Linked DNA regions of Neurospora crassa OR74A. The protein of the gene in region 3 purifies or fractionates together with the protein of the main gene of each other region. This does not show direct contact. Links are inferred from orthologs where the notes say so. Each region holds a gene or a part of one and is shown on either strand. Other genes may lie near its edges.

What was found.
Region 1: the proteins of NCU03343 (region 3) and NCU04806 purify together in Saccharomyces cerevisiae (affinity purification with mass spectrometry, with the first as the bait; 3 studies listed by BioGRID). This does not show direct contact. The link is inferred for Neurospora crassa OR74A from reciprocal best matches to the Saccharomyces cerevisiae genes RSM25 and RSM7.
Region 2: the proteins of NCU03343 (region 3) and NCU09539 purify together in Saccharomyces cerevisiae (affinity purification with mass spectrometry, with the first as the bait; 3 studies listed by BioGRID). This does not show direct contact. The link is inferred for Neurospora crassa OR74A from reciprocal best matches to the Saccharomyces cerevisiae genes RSM25 and SWS2.

What each region holds. Positions count from the first base shown.
Region 1 is NC_026506.1:885,797-891,939, forward strand, and holds NCU04806 (hypothetical protein), read left to right. Parts: upstream 1-3,244; 5' UTR 3,245-3,626; coding exon 3,627-4,100; intron 4,101-4,214; coding exon 4,215-4,670; 3' UTR 4,671-5,504; downstream 5,505-6,143. Other genes in the region: NCU04805 (hypothetical protein), read left to right, coding at 31-212.
Region 2 is NC_026505.1:4,524,736-4,530,084, reverse strand, and holds NCU09539 (putative mitochondrial 37S ribosomal protein SWS2), read left to right. Parts: upstream 1-2,338; 5' UTR 2,339-2,497; coding exon 2,498-2,500; intron 2,501-2,566; coding exon 2,567-2,611; intron 2,612-2,695; coding exon 2,696-3,007; 3' UTR 3,008-3,471; downstream 3,472-5,349. Other genes in the region: NCU09540 (hypothetical protein), read right to left, coding at 329-2,134; NCU09538 (microsomal dipeptidase), read right to left, coding at 3,504-4,435, 4,519-4,731, 4,782-5,025.
Region 3 is NC_026502.1:1,032,870-1,038,265, reverse strand, and holds NCU03343 (mitochondrial 37S ribosomal protein RSM25), read left to right. Parts: upstream 1-1,849; 5' UTR 1,850-2,189; coding exon 2,190-2,575; intron 2,576-2,665; coding exon 2,666-3,002; 3' UTR 3,003-3,183; downstream 3,184-5,396. Other genes in the region: NCU03342 (hypothetical protein), read right to left, coding at 1-1,237; NCU03344 (hypothetical protein), read right to left, coding at 3,184-4,197; NCU03345 (hypothetical protein), read left to right, coding at 5,243-5,371. UniProt on the Saccharomyces cerevisiae protein: Component of the mitochondrial ribosome (mitoribosome), a dedicated translation machinery responsible for the synthesis of mitochondrial genome-encoded proteins, including at least some of the essential transmembrane subunits of the mitochondrial respiratory chain.

The DNA.
Region 1 (6,143 bases), on a different chromosome or scaffold from region 3:
GAAATGCCAAAAGCTAATCTTCTGGTTTAGGCGGCCGTACTGCTTGGTCTTGCCGTGTGGAGGTAGGCGGAGAGCTTATCCAAGCCAGGTTCTGGTTCGACGGCAAGAACCTCGAAAATGCCAAAGAGGATGCCGCTGAACTGGCTTTGAGCCGCCTCCTCACCAGCACGAGATCGCCATCATCGGCAACTAGCCGGGGTAGCATCTGGTGATTGCGAGAGTCGTCCAATACCTTGCTGCTGGATCGGCATGATTGAGATGGCATTTCTGCACGTCCTAATTTGATTTACTACGGCGTTTTGTGTCCCCCCATATATCTAGCCCCGACGGCGTTTCTTTTGTCAGATTTGCTTTGTACAACAACAACAACAACAACAACAACAACAACAACAACCACCCTACGGCCCTGCACCTAGGTGTTCGCCCTGCTTCGGAGTAGCAGCAATCGCTCACACCAAAGATTATCGATTCCGAAGGCATTTACTACAGCCAAGGCTACGACGAGCGTGGGGGAATCCAACGGATGGCCCAGTTGGGTCGAACAAAAGCGGCGCTGTGGCAATCTGCTTGTTCTACCCGTCCGGAGCAAAGCCGTCTGTCAGATTGCGGGATTTCAATAACTCTGGAGTCTCGGTCATCACCGTCCCAATCATCAACATGGTCGATACGAGGAAATGATGCATGGAAGTTTGGAGGATGCTGGGGCTCGTTGACTCGCTAGGGATCTGGGTTGACTCTTGACCGCAAGTTGACGGTCGAGTCCCTTGGTTCTGGGTTGACTTGCTTCTCCCTACCAACGCTACTGGTGGCATCATATCTACGACAATGATTTGTTGGGGGATGGAATTCGACTGGGACCAGAAGGGATCTCCATCTGTCAGATGACAGGCTTACCCGACATTCTTTGGTTGTCTCACAACAGGGCGGACACCAAATGCCTATGATCTGCTTGTTTTGGGCTTTGGTTTTGTTTTCATATTTCAGTTGCCATTACTTAATACCCTTTTTGTTCTGTTTTGGTTTTTCTTCGGGTGGTAATCTACAAGGAGGAGGGATATCTGATATAATGGTATTTTAATCAGCAATTTGGGGTGTCTCTCTTCTAGGAGAAGGGAGGGACAATTGGCGGGATGGCAAGGGCTTTTATTACGAGGGAGGGAGGCATTTGCGCGAAAGTTTGGTCAAAAGTTTTGATTGATGTTGGGGCAGTCTAGGAAGAGATGGGGGGAAGAGACTGGTGGGGGCAGACGCAAATTCGGGAGTTAACTCTTTGCGACTTTCTCAAAACGACGCTTGGGATGAGGGGAGATGACTGGCTGGATCCGGTCTGAGTGGTACAACGACAGTCATGAGCGTTACGAGGCTGGGCTTCTCTTTTGCTTTGACGACTGGTTATGTCATTTCCTTCCACCTTTGGTCTAATGAGTGAGCGTCTTAAAAATCTTGAACACCAGACTGCAATGTCAAGAACATATGATCGGTTCAACCTGTTGACACGTGAAAGAGAAGGATGTGTATGAGCTGACGACCTCGAGAATTAGCAGCCTTACACGACGATCTCGCGAACATCTGGGCAGCCCTACGGTCAAAAGCCTAACTCTACCAACGGAGTATAGAATGAGAACGCCAAACCATTTAGGAAGAGATGACAGTCAGGTTTGTTACACCAGGGGCAAGAATCTATTTATGTAAGTGGTTAGCCAATGTAAAAGAAAGGTCGCTCTCCCGTGACCACCTGGCGGCATTCCACCACTGCGCCTCCTATGCAGCTCAACGTGGCTCTTGCATGACCAAGTCCCGATCTAGTCCTCTCGACAGCCTTTGTATTGGGGATTTGGTGCAACCTGAAACATGATATTTTGTGGTATCCGGGATCAGTACGTACATGCTCCGTATAGTGTATATCCGAACCGAGGTAAAACAATTTGTTTTAGTCAACGAACGCTTCGGGACGGAGGGGTAATACAAGACACGGAGCCGAGGCCGGGGGGCCGGGGTCGGGACCGCACCACATACCAAACCAATAGCTGAATGGTTACTCTCGCATGGGCGGACTGTAGATACGGCGCGGGGGCCCGAAGAAGAAAACGGAATATTCGTTGGTCAACCACAAACACAACAAATTTACGACGAAATTTTTACCGAATGGACGGATGACCGCCTGCCTATCCGCGGCTGGCCAGTTCTTACACTAGATCGTTACTCAACGTCAAAGTACTTTGCTTCTTCAGAGGTTTACTACAGGCTTCCAGGTCCACAGAAACCGCACTTTGCCGTAAGGGGGTGTAGTGTAGAATAGTAAAATATGGTGTAAATCACCAGTCACCACCCATCATGCACCGCACAACAGGGATACCGTTAGTGGGTACCTTGGATATGTAGATGTAAGTAAACTCGATGCGGCTTCTTGCCTTGACTGAAGGTGGTGGACATGTTGATATTGAACACCCCATCGAGAGTGAGGCGGCAAGTCATGACAGGGACAAAGCTAGGTACCTAGTCAAGACAAGGCGAGCCACATATAAACAAGCAGAGCGTACAGAGTGTGAAATAACATTGTGTTCGATGCCCCTAGTAGAGAAGTCAATTTGCTAGTTTATCTACATACTGTCCTTCCTAGGTGTCCCGAACTTAACCGCATCTACACTAATGACGATCTGACTTGCCATGTCCAGCTTGTCTTGACCGACGGATCCGATTATGCTGCTGTTGAGAGACATTTGAGGCGGTCTAGTCTAGCACCTCTTTTGGCAGGAAACGAGCCTCGGACTCGTAACCAGTGAGGACCCTTGTCTTGATGGCTTCAGTTGTACATAGTGTAGTGTAGATTCTTTGAAAGTGCATGTTGGTGGAGGAGGTGGTGGGTTACCTCTACCCTCCCTGGGCCCATCACCAGGATCAGCCGATCAGGATCAGGAACCAGATCGGCTGCAGTTGGAGATCGCGGCCTGTGGGTTGGTGGATATCAAGGTACCATGTTGACCTTGTCCAAACTAAACTCCCCAAACAGGGAGGATTGGATGGAAGGATGGAAGGATACAAGATGACGACGACTGACGGCCAGGTAGGGGACCAGGTTGGGTGATCAACGAACGCCGCCGCGTGGGGGGGGCCCACGTCCGAGTTGCCGGATGGAGTTCGGTTGTTGATCAGGGGAGCTGGGGAGGGGGGGTGGCTTTTTAAGGTTATGGTCTGTGCGTTCCCTCTTTTTTATTTTTCTTTTGGCGGGGGGTTTGAGCCGCAGCGGCGCACCAACGTCGTCCTCGGGAAAACTCCGGAAAGGCGAACGGCTCCAAAAAATTGTTCCTGAAGTCCCGCTCTCCGGGGCTCCACTCGATGCCACTGCCGCCGGCCAAACATTGCAGAGTCCGCCGAGATCACGAGTGTTCGAGTCCCTCCCCCCGGCTGCTTCGCGGGTTCGTTGCGTGCGCGTAGTAGTGTCTGTCCGCCCCGTGTTTGAGTGGTGTTTCCCAAGCCGGCCCGCCCTCCGTCCGCCGCCTTCGTTCTGCCCCCCCGCGCCGTGTGTGTGTACCCCCACCGTCGTCGTCGTCGCAAGCCGATTAGCCAGCAAACTCAACCACCACCATCACCACTACCGAACACCCGCATCACCACCACAAACAAAGATGCCTGCGAGGTTGGGTCTCAGTGCCGCCTTCCGGTCCCTGTCCATCCGGACAAACCAATTGCCTCAGCAGCAATCGATTGCCGCCGCCGTGCAGGCGCGCACCCTCATCACAGATTCCACCACCTCGTCGAGGCTACCACCCAGAGTCCAAATCCAGCAGCAACAACAACAAAGGACACAACCATACTCGACCGAGACCACCCCTCCTCCCAACAGCAACAATGGTGACCTTGCCGGCATTGAAGGCCAACCACCAGTAGAGGTCACCCCCGAGAACGCTGCCGCCCTGTCCCAGTTGTCGGAGATCGCATACGGTGTCAAGGCGGCCGACGTCGCGATCGAGGGCCACAAGTACGGTCTGCCTACGCTGCCGCTGCCGTCGGAGCTGCACCACAAGTACCGCTACTCGGAGGTCGTCAACCACGCTACCAAGCTACTCATGAAGGATGGAAAGCTGAGCAAGGCGCAGAGGGTACGACGGTCCCTCCCCCATATGCCCATTACTCCCACTTTACCTACGGCACCTCTGCTCAAACTACTTTGCGATCACAAAGCTAACACACTATCCTTTTTCTTAACATAACAGGACATGGCCATGATCCTAAACTACCTCCGCTCCTCGCCCCCTCCCAAACTCAACCCCTCGCGCCCTCTGATCCCCGGCCACCCTCCGGCCTCGCACCTGCCGCTCAACCCGGTCGAGTACCTCACGGTCGCCATTGACTCGGTAGCGCCCCTGATCAAGATGCGCGGCTACAAGGGTCTGGCCGGTGGTGGTCGCTCTCTCGAAGTGCCGCAGCCCATCCCGGCGCGCCAGCGCCGCTCCACGGCCTTCAAGTGGATTCTGGATGTGGTCAACAAGAAGCCGAGCAAGGGATCCGGTCGCACCATGTTTGCGCACCGCGTGGCTGAGGAGATTGTGGCTGTCGTCGAGGGCAGGAGCTCGGTCTGGGATAAGCGGATGTTGATTCACAAGCTGGGCACGGCCAACAGAGCCAATCTGAACTCGCCGGCGCTGCAGTTGAAGGGCAAGAGGTTCTGAGGTTGATTGGTTGATTGATTGATTGATGGACACCCTGTTAAGCCAACAACATAGCGAAGCCAAGCAATCTCTGACCGACAGCCTTTTTCTTGTGTATACTAGTTTTTTGTGTGTGTATGGATATGTATGCTCCTACTTTGCTGCTGCTGCTGCTGCTGCTGCTGCTGCCGCCTCTGTGATGGAGCGAAAAAGCCGGTGAAAGGTTTTGGGCTCATTGTGAAGCCGGGTGTCTTGTCTTAGCTTGTTTGGTTACGGTTCTGGCGAGGTTGATGGTGGCCAATGACCCTTGACTGACCATATTCTTGGATTTAGAGGTAATGGACACAAACATACTACGCACAACCTATAGCTACAATGTGGTTTAAAAAAAGGTCAGCAGTGGATCTCAGCCTGGAGTGATCCGGCTAAGATATCGACACACGGGCTGTACAATTTGTATACGAGTTTCTACAGGATTCTGAATACCACGGCTTGTTACATGACGAGGATTGTTTGCTGTCTTGTCAGATGACTTTTATCACGAGCATCGCAGGAGGTCGAATAACTTGGGGTTTCGAATGGAGTTGTAGCAAGAGAGCCGTCAACAGGAGTGATCCTTGTTGCGAGTAATCTTTTTTGAGGTGTGCTCAGGAGCAGCATCGATAGTCATAAGGAAGTAAGAGGAAAGAACTTGATATTCATAACCAGTAGATGATAACTGAAAACCGACCACGTCAATTGAGTTTGTCGGTCACAGAAAGTGGGCTCTAATCACGCTCAGGACGATGCAGTGTGACAAGCAAAGACTAGGTACCCAAACATCCATCACATGCGCAATTACGTCTCCTAGATCACGACCACTTCGACTTATCATTTTACTCTTGTTTTTTCCCTATGTCATCGCAACACATTACATACTTATAGACGCAATTTGAGGTTGTGGCTGAAAAGAGAATCATCAAACAACTGTCGCTGTCTCGTGTGGGGCCAACGGCGGCGCAGCGCGTGGTCTGGTGGATCAAGAAATGCCGAGCATGGGATTCGGTTATTACCCTGACTCAGCTCGGGCAAGCAATGTTGGAACTCTTCTAGCTCGGTCAAAAATGTTCCATTGGAGCTCTTGAACGCAAAGTCCAGGTCCCCTTTCCAACGCCTGAACCTGGGGGCGGGTGCAGAGATCTTGGCGGGAGGCAAATAATCAACCTTAAATTTAAAGGGTACTTACTTCATCCACTTACATGATTGTTCATGTTCTTTGCAACATTACCCAGTTGAGTGGCAGCCCATGCGAAGCGGCGTTGGCTGATTACTCACTTCTACTTACTTGATATCTGCAACTTTCACCAACTCGGTCGTGTGATGACGGAATTCCAAAAAGGGCAACAAACAGATAACCACAACAACTGAACACAGCAATAACGCCCAGACTGCACACAACAACCCGTCCCGCCGCGAGTTGGTCCGTCATCCAGGTTTCTGGGATAGGTACTCAAG
Region 2 (5,349 bases), on a different chromosome or scaffold from region 3:
TGCGACATGCTGAATGGCAGTTCCCCATCGAAGAAGGATGCGACCATTAGCCGAACCGAAGGCGTGCAGAAATTCGGAACGACAGTCCTGCAACTCTCTCCATTTGCGGAATAAAACCCCCGGGATAGGTAGACATAGGGTATAACCTGGACGGACACAAAAATAGATATATCAGGTCAACAAGTCAAATGTCTTACAACATCCCGCACAACCCCAGGGGTACAATATCCGAGAGATTGCTGTATAGGTAGGTATGCGTGAAAGACAAAGGTGGCTGGGGAAGAGGAGACAACTCATCCGACATCGTTTTATTTTCCTACACGTCTTCTTATTTCTTGATACCCACAACGACGAGATTTCGAGGGCTCTGGCCATAGTCAAATACTGTCTCCACCCAGCAGTCGCGAACAATATCGGAATGTTCCTTGAGGAACAGGTACCGGTCAGTCACGATAAGGGACTCAACAACGCACGCGCTAAAGGCCATCAGGCTCCAGACTGCGCTGAGCTCCCGCTTTCGGGGCAGGTACGCGGCCTCGTACTTGGCAATCTCCTCGTCGGTGATGTCACTTAGCTTCTCGCGTACAATCTGGCTGTACTGGCTAAAGTCCGAGTTGGTCGTTAGCTTCGTGATCGCTCCGCGGACGTAGGCGCTGAACGAGGTGTAGCATTGCTTCCTGAGTGAGCCGATCACGACGGGGTTGGTGCTGAAGTTGAACGGGCTCTCGTTGCCATCCTCGCCCTCGCCCTCGCCCTCGCTTGGCCCGTGGTAGACCTTGGAAATGACCCCCTTGTCGAGGAATATCCTTTGCAAGACGGCGCGGTAAAAGTGGCGGGTGAAGAAGGCATCGCTCTCCTTGTCGGTCCAGTTCCCGGGTGCTTGGCACGCCATCATACGCGCTGTAATGTTGAGTCGGATGCCTTGGTCATTGTAGGTGGAGAGTTTCTCACTCATGGGGAAACCCTGGGGATCTCGTCTCTCGGACTCCCTAACAACACGAGCATTCAATGGCTGAAGGGTTGGCCGACTGAAGCAAGGCTTGAAAGTCGGAGGACCCAGTTTTTCGGTGAGAAGGTTGTAGCAGCAACCCACGATTGCAACGGCGTGGATAGACGAGTTGAGGACCATGGACCGGATGCCGTAGTGAGAGAGGTTGCCACATGAGTGGATGGACACAGCCATCATGCTGAGATCATCCTCGCTGTGAGTTTCCGTGTACTCCAGCTGGGAGATCACAGGGGCCAAGTCGGCATCTCCCAACTTGGCAACGACGTACTCAATGCTGCCCTTTCCTTCCTCCCGCGCATAAGTGGCCTGAAGCTCCTTTCTCGATCGGAGATCAATGGTAGCAATATCTTCGTCTGTCACACCCAGTGCCTTTGCGGCGCGCTTCAGTGCCTCTTCATCGTTGGCTTCTGACGGATCTACACTTTCCATAATGCGGTGGTAGAGCTTCTTGTTGCGGATTCTCTTCTCCCGCTCAGCTAGACCGGACAAGATATCGAGATCCTTAGCGCCTGCTGTGTTGGCCTCCTTGCTCTCCACGGCAACAATATGCTTGTTGTACGGAGGACTCGCCAGAGCGCGGCCTAGATAATTCTGGCCACTGCCAAAGTCTACCAAGTGCGTCAGTTCCTGTCCCCTCACCCGAGCGACGTCCTCCGAGAGCCTGTCGATGTATCCGGAAAAGTGAGTGACTTCGTGAACTTTCTTGGTGTTCATTCCCAAAGCTACCTGCCGAGGAAGCACCGGTAGTTTTGGCTTGCTGGGCTGGAAGGAGCGTCGTAAAGAAAGTTTCCTGATATCCTTGACATATTGAACCAGCGTCTCGGGAGGCTGTCCCGGGCCAGTTTGCGCGGCAAGTGTGTCAAGATCATCTCTCATCAAGAAATCCAAAAGGACCATGGGCTCGGTCTGCACCAGGTACTCCTGCCATTCCTTGGGAACGGCAGAGACAAATAGGCCGGGCTCGCTGGTGAAGAAGTCAAGAATGTGGACACCACCACAGAGAAACTGGAAAAGGTGGGAATTGGTCGCAAAGTCCAGCAGACTGTCGACATATTGGTCTGCAGATGAAAAATCATCCGAGTATGGAAGAGGCTTTTCTGGCCTCGCAGTAAAGTCGATCGTCATGATGTGTATGGTGAGTGGTTGTTCATCTGCATTTTTGGCACATCGCCATGAAATTTTGGCTTTCTTTTCGCAAGACTCATACGGTAAAGTGTATGCATGAGGTACAATCGCATGTGTATAACCTTTATGGCGACAGCTGGCGGAGCATGGGATGCCAGCTGTCCCGCACCCCAAATGCTCCGCTGCGGATTTGCACCGGCCAATGCGGGCTCCCCCACGATCCGCCGCCTGCCCGGCAAGTCTGCACGCCCGGTTCCAAATCGCGGGTTGCGGGTTGCTGAGAGCTGAGAGTCGAGACTCCTCCGCGATTCCTGAACCGAGTTATGCCCATTGCGACAAGGTGACTTATCGTCGGCTAACAAGATGGTACCTACAACGGCCTCTGCGATTTCCGGGAATATTTGTCCAAAAGTTCTAACATTTTATTGCTAGGTGTTCATCCTGGGAGTCAACTTCAATGAGCACAAGCTCGTCCAGGTGCGCTCTCCTCCTCGTCCTCGTCCTCGTCCTCCTCTGCGCTCCAAGAATCACCCTGGTTAACCTTCCACTTGCGAACCACAGAAAGCTCTCGAGAGCTTCTACGGCCTAGGCCAGCAGGCCTCTGCCCGCATTCTCGCAAAGTATTCGATCCACCCGCGCGCGAAGATGGGCACCCTCCCGCCCAAGATCGTCACTGCCCTGACGGCCGAACTGTCGACCATGACAATCGAGAACGACGCCAGGAGGCTGGTGCTGGACAACATCAAGCGCCTCCGTGATATGGGTACCTACCGCGGTCGTCGCCATGCCATGGGTCTGCCCGTGCGCGGTCAGCAGACGAGGAACCAGATCGCCAACGCCAGGAAGCTCAACAAGATCGAGCGCCACGGTTGAGCGAGTCGATGACGGTAATGGTGACGGGAACCTTGGAGAATACCATGACGTCTGGATATTTCTGGAGCAATTCTGCTACGCGACATTTGCTTCGATAGCTGTCGGACCATGGGATCGAACGCATGGACAGAGAAGAAAGAGATGTGCCTGACGTGGCTCGGCTGGGTGTTGTCGAGCTTTTAGAGCAGGCAGGCAGGCAAAATCAGTGTACGATACGTCAAGCCAGAACGAAGACACGCTGGGACGCAAAAGGAATCAGGCGCGGCGTTGTAGAGCAATTCATCGGATCAAGTCAAAACACGGGCAACTTTTTGCTTATTGACTCGAATCACGACAGACATTTATGATACCCAATTCCCGAGTCTATATGCTAGCCAGATCTTGTGTCTTTATATAAGCAGCTTGCCATCTGCAGGCTCATCTTGGAGCTATCTACGCTGCCACAAAACTTTGCGGAAACACGGTAATTTTCTCTACGTGCCGCCCATTCAGATGTCTACTCCTCGGGCATCAAGTTAGGCAGATCATCCTCCAGAGCCGACTCACCAGCAGCTTGCATCGTAGCCGCCACGAGCTCAACATCCCTCCACACGCGGAGTATGTTACCGCCCACGACCTTGCTCACATCCTCATCACTAACACCCCGTCGAAGCAGCTCGGCCACCAAGTCCGGGTAGCGCGAGACATCTTCCAGTCCCTTCGGGACGACTGGAATCCCATCAAAGTCACTACCCAGACCGACATGATCATATCCAATCAGCTCGCCAATATGAATGATATGGTCAGCCACATGCTCCAGAGTCGCATTGGCCGGGTAAAAATCCGGCAGCCCATCGTCCCTGTCCGGCGCCGCCACGCACGAGATAAAGTCGGGTGAGAAGTTGACCATAACCAGCGAGTTGCGCTCCTTGACCAGACGAAGGACGTCATCCGGCACGTTGCGCGGGTGGGGGCACAGCGCGTAGGCGCTCGAGTGGCTGAAGATGACAGGGGCCCTGCTGCCATTCCAGTCCTTGCCCGAGCCACCCAAAACATCCTTCATCGTGTCGACGCTGGTGTGGGCCAGATCCACGATCATGCCGATGCGGTTCATCTCGTTGACTAGGGCTTCGCCGGCCGGGCTGACGCCGCCCCAGTGGGACGGGGCCTTGCGGAATGGGTTCTCCTGCAGGGCGGCGTCGGCGTACTTGTTGCCGCAGTTGTGGACCAAGGTCGCGTAGCGGACGCCCAGGGCGTGGTAGCGCCGCAGCGTGGCGGCCGAGTTGCCGATCTGGTGCAGGCCCTCGATGCCCATGGGCGAGATGAGCTGGTTGTGGTGCTTCCAGGCCTTGTAGGCGGCTTTGCTGGAGACTGCCGGCCCGAGGTCCTTGGGATAGGCGGCTTTGAGGCGGTCGACTAGGTCGATCTGTTGGAGGGTAGCCTGGACGGCTGTGTGGTTGGAAAGGGATAATGTCAGACTCTTTTTCTCTTGACGTGCTATGCAGTAAGGCTGCGTGAAAGGTTGAACCCACCGGGCAGATAGTTTTCATCAGAAAAGTCGGAGCCGTTGGCAGGGCAAGGCCAGAACAAGCTCCAGAAGGCCCCTCCGTTCATACCAGCTCTCAGGCGTGCAAGGTCGACATGACCGGGGAGCGTGCCGTCTTCCCAGCCGGTGGTAAAGTTCTTGTCATTGATGTGGTTCTTGAAAGCGGCTCGCAGCAGGATTGGCAAATCATTGTGTCCATCTATACTCTATGTCAGTATTTGGTGAATAATTATTGATTTGTGGTCGTACCGATCAATGGAGTGTGTGACAGGATACGCTTCACGCGTTTTTCAATGCTCTTCTCCCTCGGGTAGCTGGGCAGGCAACCCGACATGCCATAGCTGGCGGGTCGGACGAGAAGGTGAAGCAATAAAAGAGAGATGATCACGGCGGCCCAGAACTTGCGGCCGAATCCTCGCCGTTGACGGCGCGTGTTGGGGGCGGATAAACGCTCAACATCATCCCCGACATCGCGGGTCTTTTCTTCCTTCATCTTCTCAGGGACGACTGTTTCACCAACGTTATGGCCGAAAAAGCGATGAATGAGGGAAAAGGGAAAAGAGATGCGTAAGTAGAAACAGGGGAGCGTGTTTACGGTGTTGTCGTTGAAGGATTAGAAATCGCCTAAAGCTTAGCGGGGTTACTTCATCTTAGTTGATAGTCCGCGGCGTTGTCATGTCATTGATGATGCGACCTGGAAATGCATACACTTCTTGAGTTAGATGCAAAAGAAGCGTGTATACTTAGTGTAGACCTACCGGTGCGTCTCAAGCGACTACATCTAGAATCCGAGTCAAGGCACGAATAGGTAATGTCG
Region 3 (5,396 bases):
TCGAGGCCACATCAAACAAAATGTTGAAGGTTACCTCGGTCGCCTTGATGCCAGCGTCGACTTCCATCTCGCGCCACAGTCTCATGGCAGACTGCGCCTGAGTTTCGGTGACAGTGCCAACATATCGGCTTGCAAAAGAGATGGCGCAATTCCACTCCCCTGCCGTCAAGGGCATGCTGCAGTTCCTCACATCCGCTATGACGGCGAAGTACCGCAGCATGGACTTGGAGTTTCTCCGCTGAGGCTGCCCTAATGCTTTTAGGAGCTGATGTCGCAATCGACCATTGATGTAGGGCATGCGCGGTTCCGGCAGTTGCTGGTAGAGGTCGTAGATCGTGTCAAGGTCAACCTTGTGTGGAGTGCGCAGCCGCACGAGTACAGCAAACCTGAGATCGCTCAGTGTGTGTTGGCCAAATTCGTCCAGTCCAACCACTTCGTCCGGGCCTGGATACTCGTAGTCATCTTCATTTTGTACAAAGGTGAACCGGGGCCTATCAGCGGGCGCATAATTATGCATGTAAGGATCGCGAATGAACTTGAGGTAGTCTTCGACCGTTCCATCTAGATCATGATAGGGATCTACCAGTTCAAGCAGCTCTTCTTTGGTGAGATGACCGAGCTTCGCACTGTGGGATTCGGGCAGCTCTTGTGATTGTGGGTTTGCGCCCGAGTGGGACTCGGTCGATAGATCGTCATGTAGCGCGGATGGGGCCGAGAAGACAGAGTCGGCGGGCTTCTGATCGGCACTGGGTTCGGGGGCAGCTGCGGCAACGGGGTCAGGGACCGGGGCTGCCGCCGCCGCCGCCGCCGCCGTGTGGCTCCGCTTTTGGGGAGCAGAGACCGAATAGCGGAAGAAGTTGGAGTCGAGTGCTCGTCTGCTGTTCGTGCCGGACAGACTGGTGGGAGTTACCCGCAGGGATGGGGTGGTCAGTAGCGGGCAACCGGTGGAGCCGCCTATGGGTCTCCTCGCGACCCCATCGACAAGGCCACCACTTTGTGAGCTCCAGCTGCCGTGGAAGCACCGTCGTTGTTGTACTGGGCCGAGGCCTGCTGTCGCAACCTGTCTTCTTCGTCCGCTGCCTTGGTCACCGAGCTGGATGGATGCTGTGGTTTGCGACACGGAACTGGTGGCAGCAATTGCGGTTGCGGAGGCGGCAATGGCAGACCAATTCCACGACGGACGATGCAAGAAGATGGTGCCGCATATCGACCCTTCAAATCGGCTGGAGACTTTCATGAGCTGCCGCCGTCCAACATGATGGCCTGCCCATTCAGCCAACCTTTTCTTGCCTGTTCCCCGCGAGTGTCGGCCGCAATTCGATGAAGAAGAGCTCAGAGAAGACGCAATCACAAGCTGCTGGCTGCTGCGCACTCGATTGGCACTCGATGCAATCGCGGTTACTGGCGAATTGGATCGTACTCAGGTCGATGTGGTCAGGGCGTCAGATTCGTGGAGGGCGGGGAAGTATGGGGAGAATGGGGAGAACTCGAGTCATGAAGTGAGGAGGGATGTGGCAGGAAACTGGGGTCGGGTGAGCGACGCGATGATTGAGAAAAAGTTGGGGTAGTGTAGTGGTGTACACTACAATACATGGACGAGGCACAGCTCCAGGTACCTTGCCGTGAGCACACCCCACCCCTGCCTCTACGAAAGAGGGGAAGCTGGAATAGGGTCCAGTCTCGGCCGGGCTCAAGACCCCCACTTCTGTTATCGATAAGCACCTAGCTAGGTACTTCCCTTCCCTTTGGTCGCTTAATGGCGGGGCGGGGAACTATTTTTTTTTTGCCGGCACGTCCTTCCAATTGCTCGCCCGCTCGCGGCAGGCAGGACAGCAGGTCGCGCGGGTTACCGGCAACAACTGAAGGTCGTGTCGGATCGTGCCTGTCTCCAAAAGGCACAGCTCCACTTTGGACAAAGCTAAGCAAATAGCGATAACGATAGGTTTGGCGGGTGAGGGAATCCATTGTGCCTACGCAGCGCAGCGCAGTGTATTATTATTACCTTACACAGGTATACACACCCCGTAACCTCGTAGCCTTGCCTTTGCCTTGGGAGGGTACCTGAGGAACGAAAGGACCGCCGAATCCGCCAATGGTCCTCTGATCTCAGCCAACACCACCGCTGCCGTCGATTATCACCAGTAATTCCCTCCACAACACCCAAACGCCGCCAGCGACGACCGGACAAGATGGGCAAGGGGCGCATCTTCCAGGCCGCAAAGGTCTACCAGAGGGCCAGCGAGGCTGCTGCCACCAACATCGTCTCTGGCCTGCCACCACGGAACCCACCACTGTGGCTCAAGGCCATCGAGTCCATCCCTCCCGCTGAGATCAACACCAGACCGTATCCGATCCAGCACTCTCCGCCGAACCCGCGAGCGCGCAAGCCACGCAACCTCTTTAGGCCCACCAAGATCGTCTATCCCGAAGATGAGTTGCGCCGCGACTTCTACCGCGACCACCCTTGGGAGTTGGCCAGGCCTAGGATGATTATCGAGTTGGATGGCAAGGACGCCCGTTTCCTTGACTGGTCCAAGGGCCTCAGGCAACGCGGCATCCCCTTGTCCGGCGAGAGGTACGTTGTTGGATGAGCGCATTGCACATGGCGCAAAAGCCCGGCGGACAGGCATGGAAATTGGATGCTAACCCGAATCGCAAACGATAGTGTCGTTCAACGTCAGCTCTGGCTTATGGAGAATCAAGGCATGACCAAGCAGGAAGCCTACGACAAGGCGCGCCACGAGTTCTACAAGTTGAGGCAGTTGGAGCAGATGGAGCGCAGGATAGCCGTCGAGGAGGCCCGCATGGTTGGTGGCTACTTTGGCAAGGACCTTCTGACGGTCGGCATGGAGCTCGAGAACAAGACGTATGAGAGTTGGAAGAAGTGGGCTACGACCGAGATCGCCCGCCAGGAATCTGCCAGGGCTTCCATGTACACCAATGTCGTCGACAACTCTGCGCTCGAGGAATCTGAGGAGGACGAGCTGCTCGCGCAGAATTAAGGCAACGAATTGGAGTAAAAGGGGAGGGACAGAGTGGTATAGCGTGGCTGATACCCATCCGTGTCGGGGAAAGACGATGCCGGCCCACTCGTGCACAAGTGTAAGAATATCACGTCTCTTTGTACATATAGAGAGGGCAAGAGACTTTGTAGAAGTACATGTGATTCAGGAGCCTGGTCGCCTATCTTCGAAGAAACCCGGCAGACACCGGCCCGATATACTGACTGCCCTTGAATATTTTCGCCAGACTCTCGTGCTGCACACCGACAACATCGGCAATGCCCGTTTTTAGAAACAACTTCCCCGTCAGACTCATCGTCTTGGACCTGGCCCAGGTCTCGATGTACACCACCTTGGCCCTGTTTTCGGGTACGAGGTAGAATATCTTGAGCAAGTGGGCCACCAAACACACAATAAAGCCGTTGGCAGGCCCATTTGTAACAATCACATGCGGGTATCTGAATCCCTTTCCATGATCCTTTGTTGACCGTGGGTTGGGCATCCGTGTGAGGGCATTGGCGGCATGAAAGGCGGATATGAGGCAGGTAAAGGGTGCCGTATAGAGCGGTTGATGGACCTTGCGCGCACGGCGGATTAAGAAGATATCAGAGGTGCCTGCTCGATCATCTTCTCCGGGATAGGCGTCCTTGATAGTCGCTTCCAGAAGGCGGGCCTTGCCGAGAGAGGAAGTGTCTCCGATGGAGATGATGTACCGCCGGTGGATGTTTGCCTGGCCGCGAAATGACTGCTTGATGGTCTCAATCATCTCAGCAGTGTGTCCACCAGAGCCAAGTATATATGTGAAGTAAATAGCAGGAAGAGAGGTGGTGTTGGGAACTTGTGTGCCAGCGGCATTGGGTTGGGGCGTATTGCTGGGGACGAGCCAGCTGCCACCTGGCTTTTGACGCCGGCGTATCATTTCAAAGTGCCGGTAGACAATAAAGGTACCAAGCACTATCCCGACGGTGATGACGAGGGAGATGAGCCATAGCCATGATAGACCAGAGAGGAGAAGCCCGGCTGCGGTGGAGGATGCTGCACCCGCAACAAAGGTGGCTGCTGTCAAGTTGATGCCGCTCACAGTCTCAACATGTAACTGAGAGTAGCTCTCAGCTCTGGTGTCGGGCTTTAGCTCTTGATCATTGCGCGATTCTTCCTTGCCCGCCAGCACGGACGCTGAAGTAGTAGGGGCCATTCTAGAGAGCCCCAAAGGTCTCTTCAAAATTCTATTGGTATAATTAGTTTCACATTCTTTGAATATGGAGTCTGGGTACTTGATGGTGTCACCTCGTCGAATCTTGATAACGTGTTTTGTTTGGAGGTTTCCTGAAGTCACGCCTTCCAAAATAAAGGGGCTAATAAACAATGACAAAAGGGGCACATCCAATTGGGGTAAGAAGGAGAGGCTTGTTTGGTGCCGTCTGGAGGTGAACATGTAGACTCGCTCATATAAGCCCCATGCCGACTTGACACATGTGTCTCCAGGTGAATGGGTGTTTTAGATCTGGCAAGATTTAAAGCGTGATATATGACATCAAGATCAAAGGCTTTTAAGTCGTAGAGGCATGTGGAAAAAATGACACTGAGCAAAAGGCGATGGAGGTGTGGTTTCTGTAGAGGTAGCTACATGACGGGAATGAGCCAGTGCATGTCGCTTTACGGGGCACGACAATGAATGACGGGAAGCTTGGGCCAAATTGAAACCCCTGAAAGAGAGACCTGGAGAACACCCGACACGCACCCCTGGGCCCTGATGATCTGCCGAATAGCGGAAGGGAATGACGACGGTGGCCCCACTGGTGACTGCGATTTGGGCGCATTTGGCGGCCCAGGCCGCTAAAAAGTTGACCGACCGCCTGGCAGAAAGCGGGAAGTTGGGAACCGCATGGATGCTTGTTGTCAACGAAACCTCAAGAGAGAGAGCTCCTCCTCACTCAGTAACCCCAAAGTCCCATGTCGCTTCAGTTCCATCTTCACATTCCATCCGTCTTGAATGGATACCACCTTTCACCACTTAGACGACCTCCAATTGAGCAATCACCTATAAACAGAGGAACCATTCCACGACAAATTGAGTTCTCGGTCTCCAATACCTGCGATTAGCTTCAGCGGTTGGGGACATATTTGAAGGAGGCTTTCTGCCCCGTGTCGCAGAGAAAGGGAAGACATTGCGCGCCGCTTTCTGAAAACCGAACACATTCTGCAATGGGCATCGCGTGAACGCGCAACCACTCGAAGCAATGCCCAGACTGAACAGGACTCGATATCTAACATGCTTCTATTGTGGCCGCAAGACCTCGACCCCATGGAACAGCTCTATCCGCAACTTCGAATGCCGGAACTGCGACGCAACAAACTACCTTGATGGTGTAGGTCTCCCTGCTGTCTTGAATC